Linked DNA regions of Coturnix japonica. The main gene of each other region encodes a partner of the protein of the gene in region 3 in a complex. Links are inferred from orthologs where the notes say so. Each region holds a gene or a part of one and is shown on either strand. Other genes may lie near its edges.

Region 1 (3,639 bases), on a different chromosome or scaffold from region 3:
CTGCGACTGAGGTTTAACTTCCATTTGTATGCTTCATTACTTGTAATATTTTAATGGAATACTTGAAGTTTAGTGGTAATTTCAGTGTCACCGTGTGAGTCGGTGCCAGTGGTGAGCAGTAATACATAGACAGCGGGTAATAGAAGAGCATGTATTGCTTGAAAGATAGCGCTATTAAAGCAGTGACTTTTGACCTGCACTTAACTGAATGCTGCTATCGCTACGTGTTGTAATTTGGACTGAAGCTCGATTCTGAAGCTTGTTTGAGGAAAACATTGTGTGCTTTCCAGTGTTATCAGTGATTCTGCAGTGCAGGCAGTGTGAGCATGACCAGGGGCACTGACAGGAGCTGGTGTGCAGGGCAGAGCTGTTCTGGTGCTGACACCAAGTGCTAGCAGAGACTGGGCCCAGAGATGGTTGCTTTTATGAATGGATATAACGATATCTTTGTATATCTGGGTAGCAGAAAATGGTGTCTGCAACTGAGGGGTGGATCAGATAAATGAGGGGAAAACTCTTCTGTTAGCTGCAGGAACTTGTTCAGTCCAAGCTGGTGTCCTTGTTCTGTGTCTGAGCATTGACAGGTGATAAAGGGAACCAAACACTGTGAGGTGTTGCACTGGAGGAGTGAAAAGAGCGAAGGACTGAAAAAACAGCTGAGCTGGGAGCTGAATTTCCAGGTTGCCTTTCACTGTGTTCAAAGGGACTGGTAATAGGTGAGGCAGGGGAGAGAGCACAGAAAATGCAGTGCTTGCTTTAGTACAGGTGAGTTTGTCTGGGCTCCAAGTGAGTAATGAAATAGCTCAGCTTAAATGGCCAACGAACTAGAATCTGAAATACATGAGCTGTTTCCCTCTTGATTAAATCCTTTGTAGGTTTGAGGCACTCAATTTCTCTCCATGGTAGAGACTCTTCAAAGCATTAATGATGCTAATAGCTCCCTCTTAGCTTTGCTGTAGAATTCAGCAGTTTGGTGGCTTTGATTTTAATGCATTTAAGAAATTATTCTGGTCCTCGGCCCTTTTTTAGCTCTGCACATTTTCTCATGTCGTTCCTCCTCTTTGGCACAACCAAGAAGTGGGAAAGCCTGAGGATGGGATTTACAGGAACCTTCTGAAATAAATGTATTCACAGTCCCAATCCATATGGAGTGGAAATTCTGTGTGAAGGGTTCCCAGCTCTCCTTCCAGTTGTCAGGTTTTCAATGCATTCAGCTGTTCCTGTGGCTCTGGTGCTCCTGAGGGACTGGAGCCTCCAGGGGAGGGTGAAATAAGAGTGGTAAAAAGGTAAAATATATCTTGAAATATTGAAATAAGCTGTTTAATACTTCTAATTTCTGCAGTATGCTCTGTAACATTGAGGCAGGTTTCAGGAACACAATTATGTTTGTCTCACTGGTCCATTTAAATTGCAAAACAGTCATTAAGGGTGTGCCAGGTCATTAGGTTTTGACAAGTCTTGTTTTGTGGAGGCATTTTCTGAGGATGAAGTGCAGGTAATGTACTGCCTTCCTGTTAATTGTAACTGAAACCTGACTTATGAGTAGAGTAAAACTGTGTTTCATAAACCTTGTGCGACTTGAGTATTTTCTTCCTCTAAGGAAATGGATTTGGTTTTGTTTTTTATGAATTCTGGGGCTCCAGCTGTTTACTTTTCAGCTTTATCTGTGCCTGACTGCTTTAATCTGTCAGTAGTTAGCTTAACTTCTGGCTAGTGGTTATGGGATGGCAAGCATGTTCATATGTCTGACATTCCCATATGCATTTACACTGGATTACTTAAAACTTATTTTAAGAGTTCAGAGTAGTTTGAATAAGGCAGCAAACAGCTGAGTTTAGCAGCAAAGTGTAAATACAGATTATTTTAAGATATTATTGAATTATTTAATTGTAAAAGAACAGTTGTTGCATTCCCATTTGATGTTAATGGCATTTAGGCACTGTTAAAGTAACGCTGGGAACACTCTTGGCTTGGGTAACCGACTTCTGATTCCTTCCAACAGTGAGAGGATCAAAACCAGGTAAAAATGTCCAGCTTCAGGAGAATGAAATCAGAGGACTGTGCTTGAAATCCAGAGAGATTTTTCTCAGTCAGCCTATTCTGCTAGAACTTGAAGCTCCACTGAAAATATGTGGTAAGTGCTGTGATCTGATGCGTGGTTGGGAGTGGGGGGCATTTAGATGGATATCCTCTTTTAAGCAGGGGATGAATGCCAGATGCTGCTTCTGCTTACAAAACTGATGAATGATTGCAGTAAAAGGGAAAATAAGCCTGTCCTGAATGCTTTGAGTGGAGGAATGGGAAGGAGGTAAATGGGAATTGTAGGGGGAAGCAGGAAATCCCAAACCAGAAAGTGGTCCTGTTTGATCAAGTCTCCTGGGAAAGGGATTCAGAAGAAGCTTTGGAAAGGAACCTTTGTATCAGTTATTGCTCAGTGCTGTCGTCACTGAACATGGAGGAAAACAAGACACAGTAGCTGATGGGAGCTGCCATCCAGATCTCAGCCCTGATTTGACACAGTTTTAGAATCTGGAAGCTTAAATTTCTGTATCACCTGTGGTTTCTGGTTTGGTTTTACCATATTTATGTATGGTGATGTTCTCACTTTTTAGACATGCACATGTGTAGTTATGCTAAAGGGATGAAGGATGTCAAAATAAATCTTTAATAAATGCACGTTAGTAGAGGTTCCAGGAAGCAGTGTTTTATCCTGCTCCAACACTGCGGATTTACTTCTGAAGTAGCTTGTTCAATATTTATGGTATGTGGTAGCCTTAAAACCAGATTTATTGTTCTGCTGTCTGAAACAAAACCATGATTTAAACCAAAGGCAGGAATACCAATTTCTTCTGATACGACTTCCCTGCTGGAATTTGAGTTACTGGCTGTTGCAGGAAAATACCAGACGTGGTATAGAGGAAAGGAAATTCCCCAGGCAGTTTTTCCATCAGTGTCACTACTGAAGTGTGGCTGTATCAAGAATGAAGTCAGGGTTTCTAATCTTGCAGCCTGTAGTCAAGAAAAGGATTTAACTGGGTGCCAGATTTGTTTGAGTATGTAGAGTTGATTTCTTGGGATGTTGGACTTGTTTTATGAGTCTATGAGTATATTAAAGCAGATACGTACTGGAGTCATAATGTGTTCTTAGTCATTGTCTTACGTAGATATCAACTTTGAGTGTGATAGCATGAAGACAAACTATGTAATCTTCAGGAATGCTGCAGGCAGTATCTGTCTGCAGGTTTTTCCTGTTGGTGCTGTTTCTCTAGGGAAAATAATTGTAAAATATGACAAAGTCAGTTACGTGCCATTTCTGACTGCTTTTTACAGGTGACATCCATGGACAATACTATGACTTGCTTCGGCTCTTTGAATATGGAGGCTTTCCACCAGAGAGCAACTACCTATTCCTTGGTGACTATGTTGACAGAGGAAAGCAGTCTTTAGAAACAATTTGTCTTCTATTGGCCTACAAAATTAAATACCCGGAGAACTTTTTCCTCCTCAGAGGGAACCATGAATGTGCCAGCATTAATAGAATTTATGGATTTTATGATGAATGTAAGTAATATGGTCAGATGGGAGGACCTTTGGCTTGGGAAAGCAGGGTAGGAGGTGCTTACTGTCTTCTAGACCTCC
Region 2 (4,221 bases), on a different chromosome or scaffold from region 3:
GAACAGGACAGGCACGGCCCCCTCACCCTGTGTCTTTTCACCCCCCCAAAGTTCCGCTCGTTGTTTTTTGGCTCCGTGCTGACACCGGGGGGGCCTGGCCCAGCCCCCAGCCAGGAGGTGCTGGCAGAGGACAGCGATGCCGAATGCTGAGAGCCCCCATTGCGATGCCATGGCGCAGCAGCTGGCACTGCCTGGCCACGTAGGGTGTGATCCTAAAGCCACATCTTAAGACCCATTACAAGTTTATTCCCCAAAAAAAGCCTCCTGCCCTGCCTTCACTGCCAACTGAGGGGCGGGTCCTGCCCCAGAGGGTACATTTGGTACAGTAGAAAGCGGCAAGGGCAGGATCTGACAAATAAAAAAACGAATGGAGAAAGGAGCGACCTGGTGCTGGGGCTGCTGGCGGTGGACACTCACTTCTTGGCTTTGGCAGAGTTGCGTGGTGGGGTGACGGGGCGGCCAGCAGGGTTCAGCCCACTGAACTGCCCGTACTTGCCCTTGTTCTTGTCTGCTGGTTTCAGAATCTGCAAGGAAGTGAAGGGTGAGTGAAGGGGCTGCAGGCAGAGCCCTGTGTGCTGCCCCCTCCCCGGCAAAGCCCCAGCTCACTTGGAAGGAGCACATGAGGGTCTCGTCCACACTCATCATGGCTCCTGCGTTGTCAAACTCCCCGCAGTAGTTGGGTGCAGAGAAGAGGGTGACAAGCTGGCGTTTGGCAAAGAACTCGTAGCCGTCCTCCACCACCTGTGGGGCAGCAGCACTCATATCTCCCTGTTCTCTGTCCATAGAGCCCACCAACTCCCCCAGGGGGCAGCATCCCCTTCAAAAGAGCCCAACCACATCCTCAAGAGCAAATGGCCCCTCCTGGGAAAAGCTCCACCGTTATGGAGCCCAGGTGAGGCCCGACCCCATTACCTGGTGTGCCCTGCAGATGAGATCGAGGTCATGCTTGTGCAGGAACTTGGCCACCACCTCGGCCCCAAAGGTGAAGGACACTCCTCTGTCATTTTCACCCCATCCTAAGACATCTTTGTCAGGGTCAGACCACAGGAGATCACACAGCAGGCCCTGGTCGGGTACGTCCGTGGGTCGCATGATGCGCCGGATCTGTTCCATCGACTGCAAGTCAGGAGACAGCCCTGCACAGGAGTGTCAGGTTATGCTGTGTGGCGGCCTTTGGACCCAGGCGGCAGCCCCCAGCCCTGTGCCCACCTCCGTGACAGCAGAATATCTTCTCATCCACAATTGCTGCAATTGGTAAACAGTTAAAACAATCGGTGAAGGTTTTCCACAGCTTGATGTTGTATCGCCGCTTGCCTGTGAGGCAGCGGGGTGGGTGCTCACAGGAGCCCTTCATGTGGGCCATGTTCCACCCTCCCCACCCTCTGGTGTATCACAACACACACAGGGCAGCACTGAACCCTCCAGGGGGCTGGGGGGGTGGCCGTGGAGGTGGCTGGGATGGGGGTATGAGGTCTGCAGGAGGAGGTAGCTGGGATGGGGCATAAGGTCTGCAGGAGGAGATGGCTGGGATGGGGGCATAAGGTCTGCAGGAGAAAGTAGCTGGGATGAACATAAGGTCTGCAGGAGATGGGAAGAGCTGCAAATGGGGATGGAAGGGGGGACTTTGGGCTGGCTGTATCATATGGGGTTGGCAGTGAGGTGACAAGGCAGTCCCGTTTGTCAGTAGTGGGGCCGGTGCAGCACTCACACTCATCATAGAAGCCGTAGATGCGGTTGATGCTGGCACATTCGTGGTTGCCACGCAGCAGGAAAAAGTTCTCCGGGTATTTAATTTTGTAGGCCAATAGAAGACAAATTGTTTCTAAAGACTGCTTTCCTCTGTCAACATAGTCACCAAGGAATAGGTAGTTGCTCTCTGGTGGAAAGCCTCCATATTCAAAGAGCCGAAGCAAGTCATAGTATTGTCCATGGATGTCGCCTGTAAGAAGATCGCGGGGGACACGCGGTGACGCTGGCTCCCAGCCCGCCCCCTTCCCCTCCCCCCGGCTCGTCGCTCACCGCAGATCTTGAGCGGAGCCTCGAGCTCCAGCAGGATGGGCTGGCTCAGGAATATCTCCCGTGACTTCAGGCACAGCCCCCGGATCTCGTTCTCTGTCAGCTGCACGTTCTTCCCAGGCCGTGAGCCTTGCACTGTGCGGGGGTGGCTTTCAGCAGAGCCCACTCCACCCCCGGAGCCCGCAGAGCCGCCGTGCCCTAACAGTCCCGCACTAACGCACGGCCCTCCCGGTGCCCCCGGCCCTCTGCAGCCACCCCCCATCCGCCCCGATCGCCCGCAGCCCCCCTCATTCCCACAGCCCCCAGCGGCTCCCACCGCCCGGCTCCCCCCGGCCCCCCGCTGCCCCGATACCCCCCGCTGCCCCACAGCCCCACAGTTGGACCCCCAGAGCCTCGCACGGCCCCCGTTTCCCCGCAGGCCCCGGCCCGCAGCCCCGTTCTCCAGCCCCTCCTTGGCGGCACAGCGCCGGTCCTTCCCTCCCCTAGCGGCTCCCGAGGCGGTCCGGGAGCACTAGGCCCATCGCTCACCCTCCAGGAGGCGGCCGATGATGGAGTCGAGGTTGAGCTTCTCGGTATCCGCCATGGCCGCCGGACGCTGCTTCCCCCCCCCGCCCTGGCCCGCCCCGGTCCCGGCCCCGCGGCCATAGAGAGCGGCCGGGGCGAGCGGCGGGTGGCGAGAGCGCCCCATGGCGGATGGGAGGCCGCGGAGGCGCGTGGGGGCTGCGCGCTCCCACGAGGCGGCGCCGTGTCGTTCCCCGTGCCGGCCGGTTGCCCGGCGGCTGTTGCCGTTGTCAGCCTCGCGGCGCGTGGGGAGCCCCGCGGGGACGTGTGCCGAGAGACACGGTGCTGCCACCGGCTCCACCCGCCTCACTTGTGCCCCTCGTGCCGCCGTGCCGCCCCCACGTGCAGTACGAGCCGCGCGGTGCCGGCACAGCCTGGCCCGTTGCCCGCGGTGACACCGGTGACATTTCAGCCCCGCGGTGTCAGCTGCGCCGCTGTCCCCGAACGACCCCGGCAACTGTCCCCGCTCCGCTGCCGGCTGCGTGTCCCGCTGCTCGTGTCCCGCCTCCCCGTGTCCCCCGATCCGTGCGGCCCCACGTCGCGGTGTGCTCACATCCCGTGTCTCCGTGCCCCGGCTCCTCCGATCTACCCGTCCCCACCCCGACGTTGCTCTGTCACCACGTCCCCCACTCTCAGATCCCCCTTTTCCCGTATCTTCCCTTATCTCCGTATCCTCCGATTTACCCGTCGCTACGTCCCCGTGCCTCGTATTCCCAAATCCCCGTGTCCCCGGATCCCCGTAACCCCACAGATCCTTCTCCCCGTGCTCCCTCGTTCCCCATCTCCATTTCCCCATACGCCCCAGATGTTCTCATGCCCTCGCATCCTTGTCTCCACGCCCCATAGTTCCCTCACACCCCACACCTGATACCCCGCACCCCTGAATCCTGGTGCCCGCACACCCCGCACACCCCCCATTCCCTCTCTCCCCCCCTTCCCCGCCCCGCCCCGCGCCCTCCCCCGGGGACGCCCTTCTGCCACCGAAGGCGCCTCCGCCGCCGGTGCAGAACGGGCACGGCTCCGCGGGCACCGCCGCCACGACCGCCCGAAAGCGACAGCGACCGCCGGTGGGTGCAGGCGGCGCCCGCTCCACGCGTGTCCGAGGGTGTTGGCGTGCGCCGTGCTGCGCGTGTCCGGCGGTGAAATCGCGGGCAGCCGTTGCGCTAAGCCGGGGGACGTGCGGGGCGGCACCGAGCGGCGCCGGGGACGGGCGGGTGGAAGCCGGGGACAATAGGGCTCTGTGCCGCTAAGCCCGGGCACGGGGCCGCCCCACTGCCAGCGGCCACGCGTGACTGCGGGGCACGGCTCTTCCCGGTGGGGCCGTGTGGCCGCACGCCTCAGTGTCCCTCCGGGAGCACGGTGGCACGGCGCGGTACCAGTGGGGCCGACGGTGCGGGCTGCGCCCTGCTCACCGCGACCCCTCTCCCGTCTCTCGCAGCCTCCCGACGCCCGCAACATGGTGAGTGGCGGCCCGGGGTCTGCGGGCGGGGGGCCCCTTCCCCTTTCCCGGCGGGGCTGGGTGGTGCCGGGTGTTCCGTGTGGCAGCGCCGTGCCCACCGCCTCCGCGTGACCCCGCGGGGACAAGGGGACGCTTTGTCCGTGGGCTGGCACCGCTCCCGGGCACCCCGACACCACCGCCCCAGC
Region 3 (4,431 bases):
CTCTTAACTTCGCAGGTTCCAGATGACTGCAATTTTACCAGCTGCACTAGAAATGCTACCAATAGAGACTTGTATCAGCCAGGTAGGGATCACTTCTGATATTCAGCAGCTTTAATTTTATGAAATAGTTCCTTTTCTCCCCACTCTGAGGTGCTTTATGTTACATGAAGCCAAAACCATACCATAGTTTGTCTCCTTTTCAAAAATAATCTCTGGTTTTATGGTAATCACTTGTTATTCATAGAATGGCTTAGGAAGGGACCTTAAAGATCCCCAGTACCCCTGTTGTGGGCTGCTTGCCCCCCATCAGATTAGGCTGTCCAGGGCCCCACCCAGCAACATCCAACCTAGATCTCATCTTTTATTTTAAAGCCATTTCCTTCTGTCCTATTACAACATGTAAAAAGTCAGTCCCTCCTCTTGCTTGTAAACTCCCTTCCATTACTGAAAAGCTACAATGAGGTCTCCTTGGAGTCTTCTCCAAGCTAGACAAGCCAAACTCCTTCAGCCTTTCCTCACAGGAAAGATGGTCCTGCCCTTATTAAGAGCATTAACAAGCTATTAATCTCCATCCACGACTTGGCATTTATGGGATCAACCTTACCTAATCAAGGCAATATCATCGATGAGCCCACCTTTCCCATTGTAAACACTGGTTGCTTTGATCCCCAGCTTATTACTCGCCACAGACAGCAAATCTGACAGCGTGCCATATACAGCCACTACCTGCAAAGAGAAGGAAACCACATTAGGGCTGCTACCATCCCAGAGCAGCATTGGGCCTTAAAACCTGATATGCTTTTGCTATAGACATTGCTTCACAGCTTTGAGCAGAAAAAAAGGTTATTTATCAGCTACCCAACAGAAAGCACAGCACAGGAAGACCTCAGCACATCCCTAATGTGCTCAGGGCATGTTTCTATCAGCACAGCACCACTAAATGGGAGCTGAACTGCATTGAAGAGCAGTTATGCCTGTATGGGGTCTATGGGGCCCATATGGGGTTGTGGGGCCCATATGGGGTTGTGGGGCCTGTATGGGGTCTATGGGGCCCATATGGGGTTGTGGGGCCTGTATGGGGTCTATGGGGGCCTGTATGGGGGTCTATGGGTCCTATATGGCCTAGGCCCAGTGCTGCCCCATACACAGGCCTAGGCCTCAACCCGGCCCCTCAGACCCCACTACCCCAATCACGGCCACAGTAGGCAGCCCTCCAGTCCCAAAGCAAGCAGAGGAAAATAGAACAACCTCAGAAACTCACTTTCAGGTTCCCAAATCCGACCCACAGGCCTCAACCCCCCCACCCCTCACCTTCCCGTTCCGGGGACTGCCGTTAACGAACAGCGTGACCCGCCTCATACTGCCACCAAACCCGGAAGTCAGCGCTCTCTGAGCGACAGGAGCTATAACCAATCGCAGCCAAGCCGCTGGCCAATGAGAAACGCGCCTCGCAGGAGGGGCGGGGAAACAACGAGTGGGCGGAAGCAGAGGTACCAGCAGCCAATCAAAAACAGGAGTTGGGTGCTTAAAAGCAAACGCTGCTCGCGATTGGTGCGCGCTGTCACGTGGACGGCGACCGTTGCAATTCAAAATGGCGGCGCGGCGCGTAACGGTCATTGATGGCTCCGCGGTTCGAACGTGAGGGGAGAGCGGGGATGGCGGCTGAGGTGGGGGGGGGGGGGGTCTGTGGTAATGGCCCTTGTATGGCCCTTGTATGGCCCTTGTATGGCCCTTATTGCCTTAAACAGCCCGGTCCGTGGAACCTAACGCGTATTCTCGTGAGCTGCTGCTGTGGCCTGTTTCCCTGAGCTTTAATACCTGAGAGAAACCCAGTAATGCGAAAGATGTGAGAGACCTAAAGAACCCCCCCCCCCTTTCCCCTTCCCCTTTATACTATTCATACCTCAATTGCGTTTAAAACGGGCATTTAAACGCTAAATGTATATATTTACCACAAAATAAAAGCATAAGCCTGTGTTTCCTTACCCATAGCCAAGCTTCTGTGCTTCTCTTACCATAAGGCTTTCCCTATTCTTCCCCTTTCCCCCCTCCCCAAGTGGTTTTCTAGATCTGCAGTCATTTCATATCATTACAGGGCTGTTTTCCTTATCAAATGACTTAAAACTTGTCATTTTTTAACAGGGAGCTGTTGTTATTGGAGGCAAGTGAATAACTTTGTGCTTCTTCGGGCTTAAAACACGTTGTCATCAAAGGTTAGAGATGCTGTGCTGGAAGATGAAGGCAATGAGAGAAGAAATCTTGCAGTGACTGAAGAGATCCCCATTAGAAGAGTGGAAGGTTTGCAAAGTGACTGAGCCTGAAATGGCATCTGAGAAAGAGAACGTAAGCAATGGAACCAAAGGCCAAGAGCAGGAATTGTATCATGATGCTGAGAGCCATCAGTGGTCAGAATGTCCCTTAGATACTCCAAAAAGGGCTGTGGTTGGTGAAGCTGCCCAGCCTCTGAGCAGCAAAGAGAATGTTTCAGGTAGATCCGTGCCTTTGGGAGATGAGTGCTACTCAACGCCTGCAAGGCTCAAAGCAGAAGAAAAATCCTATTGCGAATTAGCAGAGAAACAGAGGAGAAAAAGTGTCGATTTTGCAACTGTAACAACTGCTGATTTTGGGATTACTCCAGAAAGCTTTGTTAATGGATCTACAGGTAAGGCAAGGCTGGAGTGATCAGAAAGGGTTGGACTGGATGATCTTGTAGGTCTTTCTGCTCATGCTGATTAATTGATTTTCTGACAGTTTTCTGAGCTGTAAAGCTATATGAGGTTGTTTCCAGAAATAACGCAAACCATTCTTTAAAGAAAAAACCCAAACCCCATTAAACCAGTGTTCTGCTGTACATCTTCATTGTTTTTTTTTCCTTCTCTCTCCATTTCAGCAAAGTCTCCAGCTGCTCTAAAGCTCAGACGAAGATCAGCCATTGGAGCAAGGGGGTCTCCAGAAAACAATACCCTCATTCAATACCTTGCCCAGCAGAAGAGCAACAGGCAAAAAGAAGCTTTAACACAGGTGAGGGTTGTTCTCAAGTGTCTAATGCATCATTTTAATTCCCTTAGGGATCAATATGTAAGTCTTCCATTTTAACACCTCCTGGCAGAAAGAGACTAGAAACCCAAGGGAAGGGGTCAGTAGAAGAAATAGCTTTGGCCTTAATTTTCTTGATTTTCCTTGGATGCTTTTGTTTTTAAATAGAGAGTTGAATGCTGGTTTTGTTTCTGTAGAGTCCAGAATCTCTTTTTTTGTCTATTTACACTTATAATAGCATTCCTTTATCTGCATTCACTGCACTTTATGCCAAAGATATAGATAACTAAAAAAAATTGCAGGTCATCTTGGAAAAAGCATCTGACACTGATTTTTCTATTAGCAGGCCAGTCCTTGTCAGTTTGCCAGGTCACTGAAGAGCAAAATGGATATCTTTCAAAGAACTTTTAAGTCAGTTCAAGAAGCTGAAGGGAAGACGGGCTTCTCTGGACTCTCACAAGCATCTACTGCTTTTCAGGAAGGTGGCTTTTGTAAGTTAATTGAGTTTAAATATTAGGTCTTCCCTTAAGCCAATAAATATGAAACACCACTAAAAATGTTTTCATTTCAGTCTTTAATTTTCATATGTTCTTGCCTTGAAGTTTTCAGCCCTGACTGTATCAGTAAAGAAGTCAGAAGTAATGTCATATCAGATCAAAGCAGGAAAAAGGTTAATTTTGCAGAAGAACTAATTGTGGGAATATATGATGAAAGTGAGCTGCCTGTCACACCACTACAAACAAGGAGTGCTTCATTAAGTGAATCCACACAGAGTGGCTCACAGCTGAGATCTGTCTTGAAGAAAACACCAGTGAAGCAACTGATGGACTGCATGAAGGTTGGTTGGTTAACTTCCATCACAGTAGAAATTGATTCATATTTTAAGATGCTTTCAGACTATTTGTATGCACTGAAGATGGTTATCGGCGGTTGTCTGTTTGTGTCATGGTTGGTTTGAAGCTTTCTTGTTATGAGAAGATCCATTTTTATGCTTTCAAGTTTTACTCAACAAATAGATTTGTTAAAGAGTTGCACTGATTGTAAACTTTGCTTTCAGAGGAAGTTATTTTCTCTTTCGATTTGAAAAAGGGCAGTCCTTAAATGAATGGTACTTAATAGATGCTATTATCACATTTGATAGGAATATTCACACAATGCTCTTCATGGAGGAGGAAGCGAATCTTTTACAGTCTCTGATCACATCTGTGAAGCACTGCAAACAGGTTTGATTCCCATTTTGTTGTGTTATTTTCTTCTGTTGTTCTATGAATTGAAGAGATTTGCGAGATCTAAAGGATATTATGGATTAGCCACCACTGAAATAGCTCTTAAGTGGTAACATACAGTGTGAAGTGGAAAATAAAGTTACCATGGGGAAAAAAATACGCTTCAGAG

What was found.
Region 1: the proteins of CDCA2 (region 3) and PPP1CC are in contact, whole or in part, in a crystal structure (PDB 5INB), measured with the Homo sapiens proteins. The link is inferred for Coturnix japonica from reciprocal best matches to the Homo sapiens genes CDCA2 and PPP1CC. Residues at the interface, in NP_689775.2 of Homo sapiens: Lys391, Arg392, Val393, Thr394, Phe395, Gly396, Asp398, Leu399, Ser400, Pro401, Glu402, Val403, Phe404, Asp405, Glu406, Ser407, Leu408, Pro409, Ala410, Asn411, Pro413, Leu414, Gly417, Gly418, Thr419, Pro420, Val421, Cys422; in NP_002701.1 of Homo sapiens: Arg20, Gly21, Ser22, Pro24, Lys60, Tyr70, Asp71, Leu73, Arg74, Glu77, Tyr78, Asp166, Lys168, Ile169, Asp242, Leu243, Tyr255, Phe257, Arg261, Pro270, Asn271, Ser284, Asp286, Glu287, Thr288, Leu289, Met290, Cys291, Ser292, Phe293.
Region 2: the proteins of CDCA2 (region 3) and PPP1CA are in contact, whole or in part, in a crystal structure (PDB 5IOH), measured with the Homo sapiens proteins. The link is inferred for Coturnix japonica from reciprocal best matches to the Homo sapiens genes CDCA2 and PPP1CA. Residues at the interface, in NP_689775.2 of Homo sapiens: Lys391, Arg392, Val393, Thr394, Phe395, Gly396, Asp398, Leu399, Ser400, Pro401, Glu402, Val403, Phe404, Asp405, Glu406, Ser407, Leu408, Pro409, Ala410, Asn411, Leu414, Gly417, Gly418, Thr419, Pro420, Val421, Lys423; in NP_002699.1 of Homo sapiens: Gln20, Gly21, Ser22, Pro24, Tyr70, Asp71, Leu73, Arg74, Glu77, Tyr78, Asp166, Lys168, Ile169, Asp242, Leu243, Tyr255, Phe257, Arg261, Pro270, Ser284, Glu287, Thr288, Leu289, Met290, Cys291, Ser292, Phe293, Gln294, Ile295, Leu296.

What each region holds. Positions count from the first base shown.
Region 1 is NC_029530.1:5,183,749-5,187,387, reverse strand, and holds part of PPP1CC (serine/threonine-protein phosphatase PP1-gamma catalytic subunit), read left to right. Parts: intron 1-2,002; coding exon 2,003-2,134; intron 2,135-3,330; coding exon 3,331-3,561; intron 3,562-3,639. UniProt on the Homo sapiens protein: Protein phosphatase that associates with over 200 regulatory proteins to form highly specific holoenzymes which dephosphorylate hundreds of biological targets.
Region 2 is NC_029520.1:169,990-174,210, forward strand, and holds PPP1CA (serine/threonine-protein phosphatase PP1-alpha catalytic subunit), read right to left. Parts: upstream 2,855-4,221; 5' UTR 2,705-2,854; coding exon 2,545-2,704; intron 2,152-2,544; coding exon 2,020-2,151; intron 1,940-2,019; coding exon 1,709-1,939; intron 1,315-1,708; coding exon 1,210-1,314; intron 1,137-1,209; coding exon 913-1,136; intron 742-912; coding exon 607-741; intron 525-606; coding exon 414-524; 3' UTR 226-413; downstream 1-225. Other genes in the region: cell cycle checkpoint control protein RAD9A, read left to right, coding at 52-150; CARNS1 (carnosine synthase 1), read left to right, coding at 4,034-4,036. UniProt on the Homo sapiens protein: Protein phosphatase that associates with over 200 regulatory proteins to form highly specific holoenzymes which dephosphorylate hundreds of biological targets.
Region 3 is NC_029537.1:1,990,631-1,995,061, reverse strand, and holds the start of CDCA2 (cell division cycle-associated protein 2), read left to right. Parts: upstream 1-1,536; 5' UTR 1,537-1,638; exon of another isoform or gene 1,639-1,667; intron 1,668-1,691; exon of another isoform or gene 1,692-1,846; intron 1,847-2,142; 5' UTR 2,143-2,322; coding exon 2,323-2,662; intron 2,663-2,890; coding exon 2,891-3,021; intron 3,022-3,379; coding exon 3,380-3,527; intron 3,528-3,638; coding exon 3,639-3,874; intron 3,875-4,177; coding exon 4,178-4,259; intron 4,260-4,431. Other genes in the region: BTB/POZ domain-containing protein KCTD9, read right to left, coding at 605-726, 1,312-1,359. UniProt on the Homo sapiens protein: Regulator of chromosome structure during mitosis required for condensin-depleted chromosomes to retain their compact architecture through anaphase.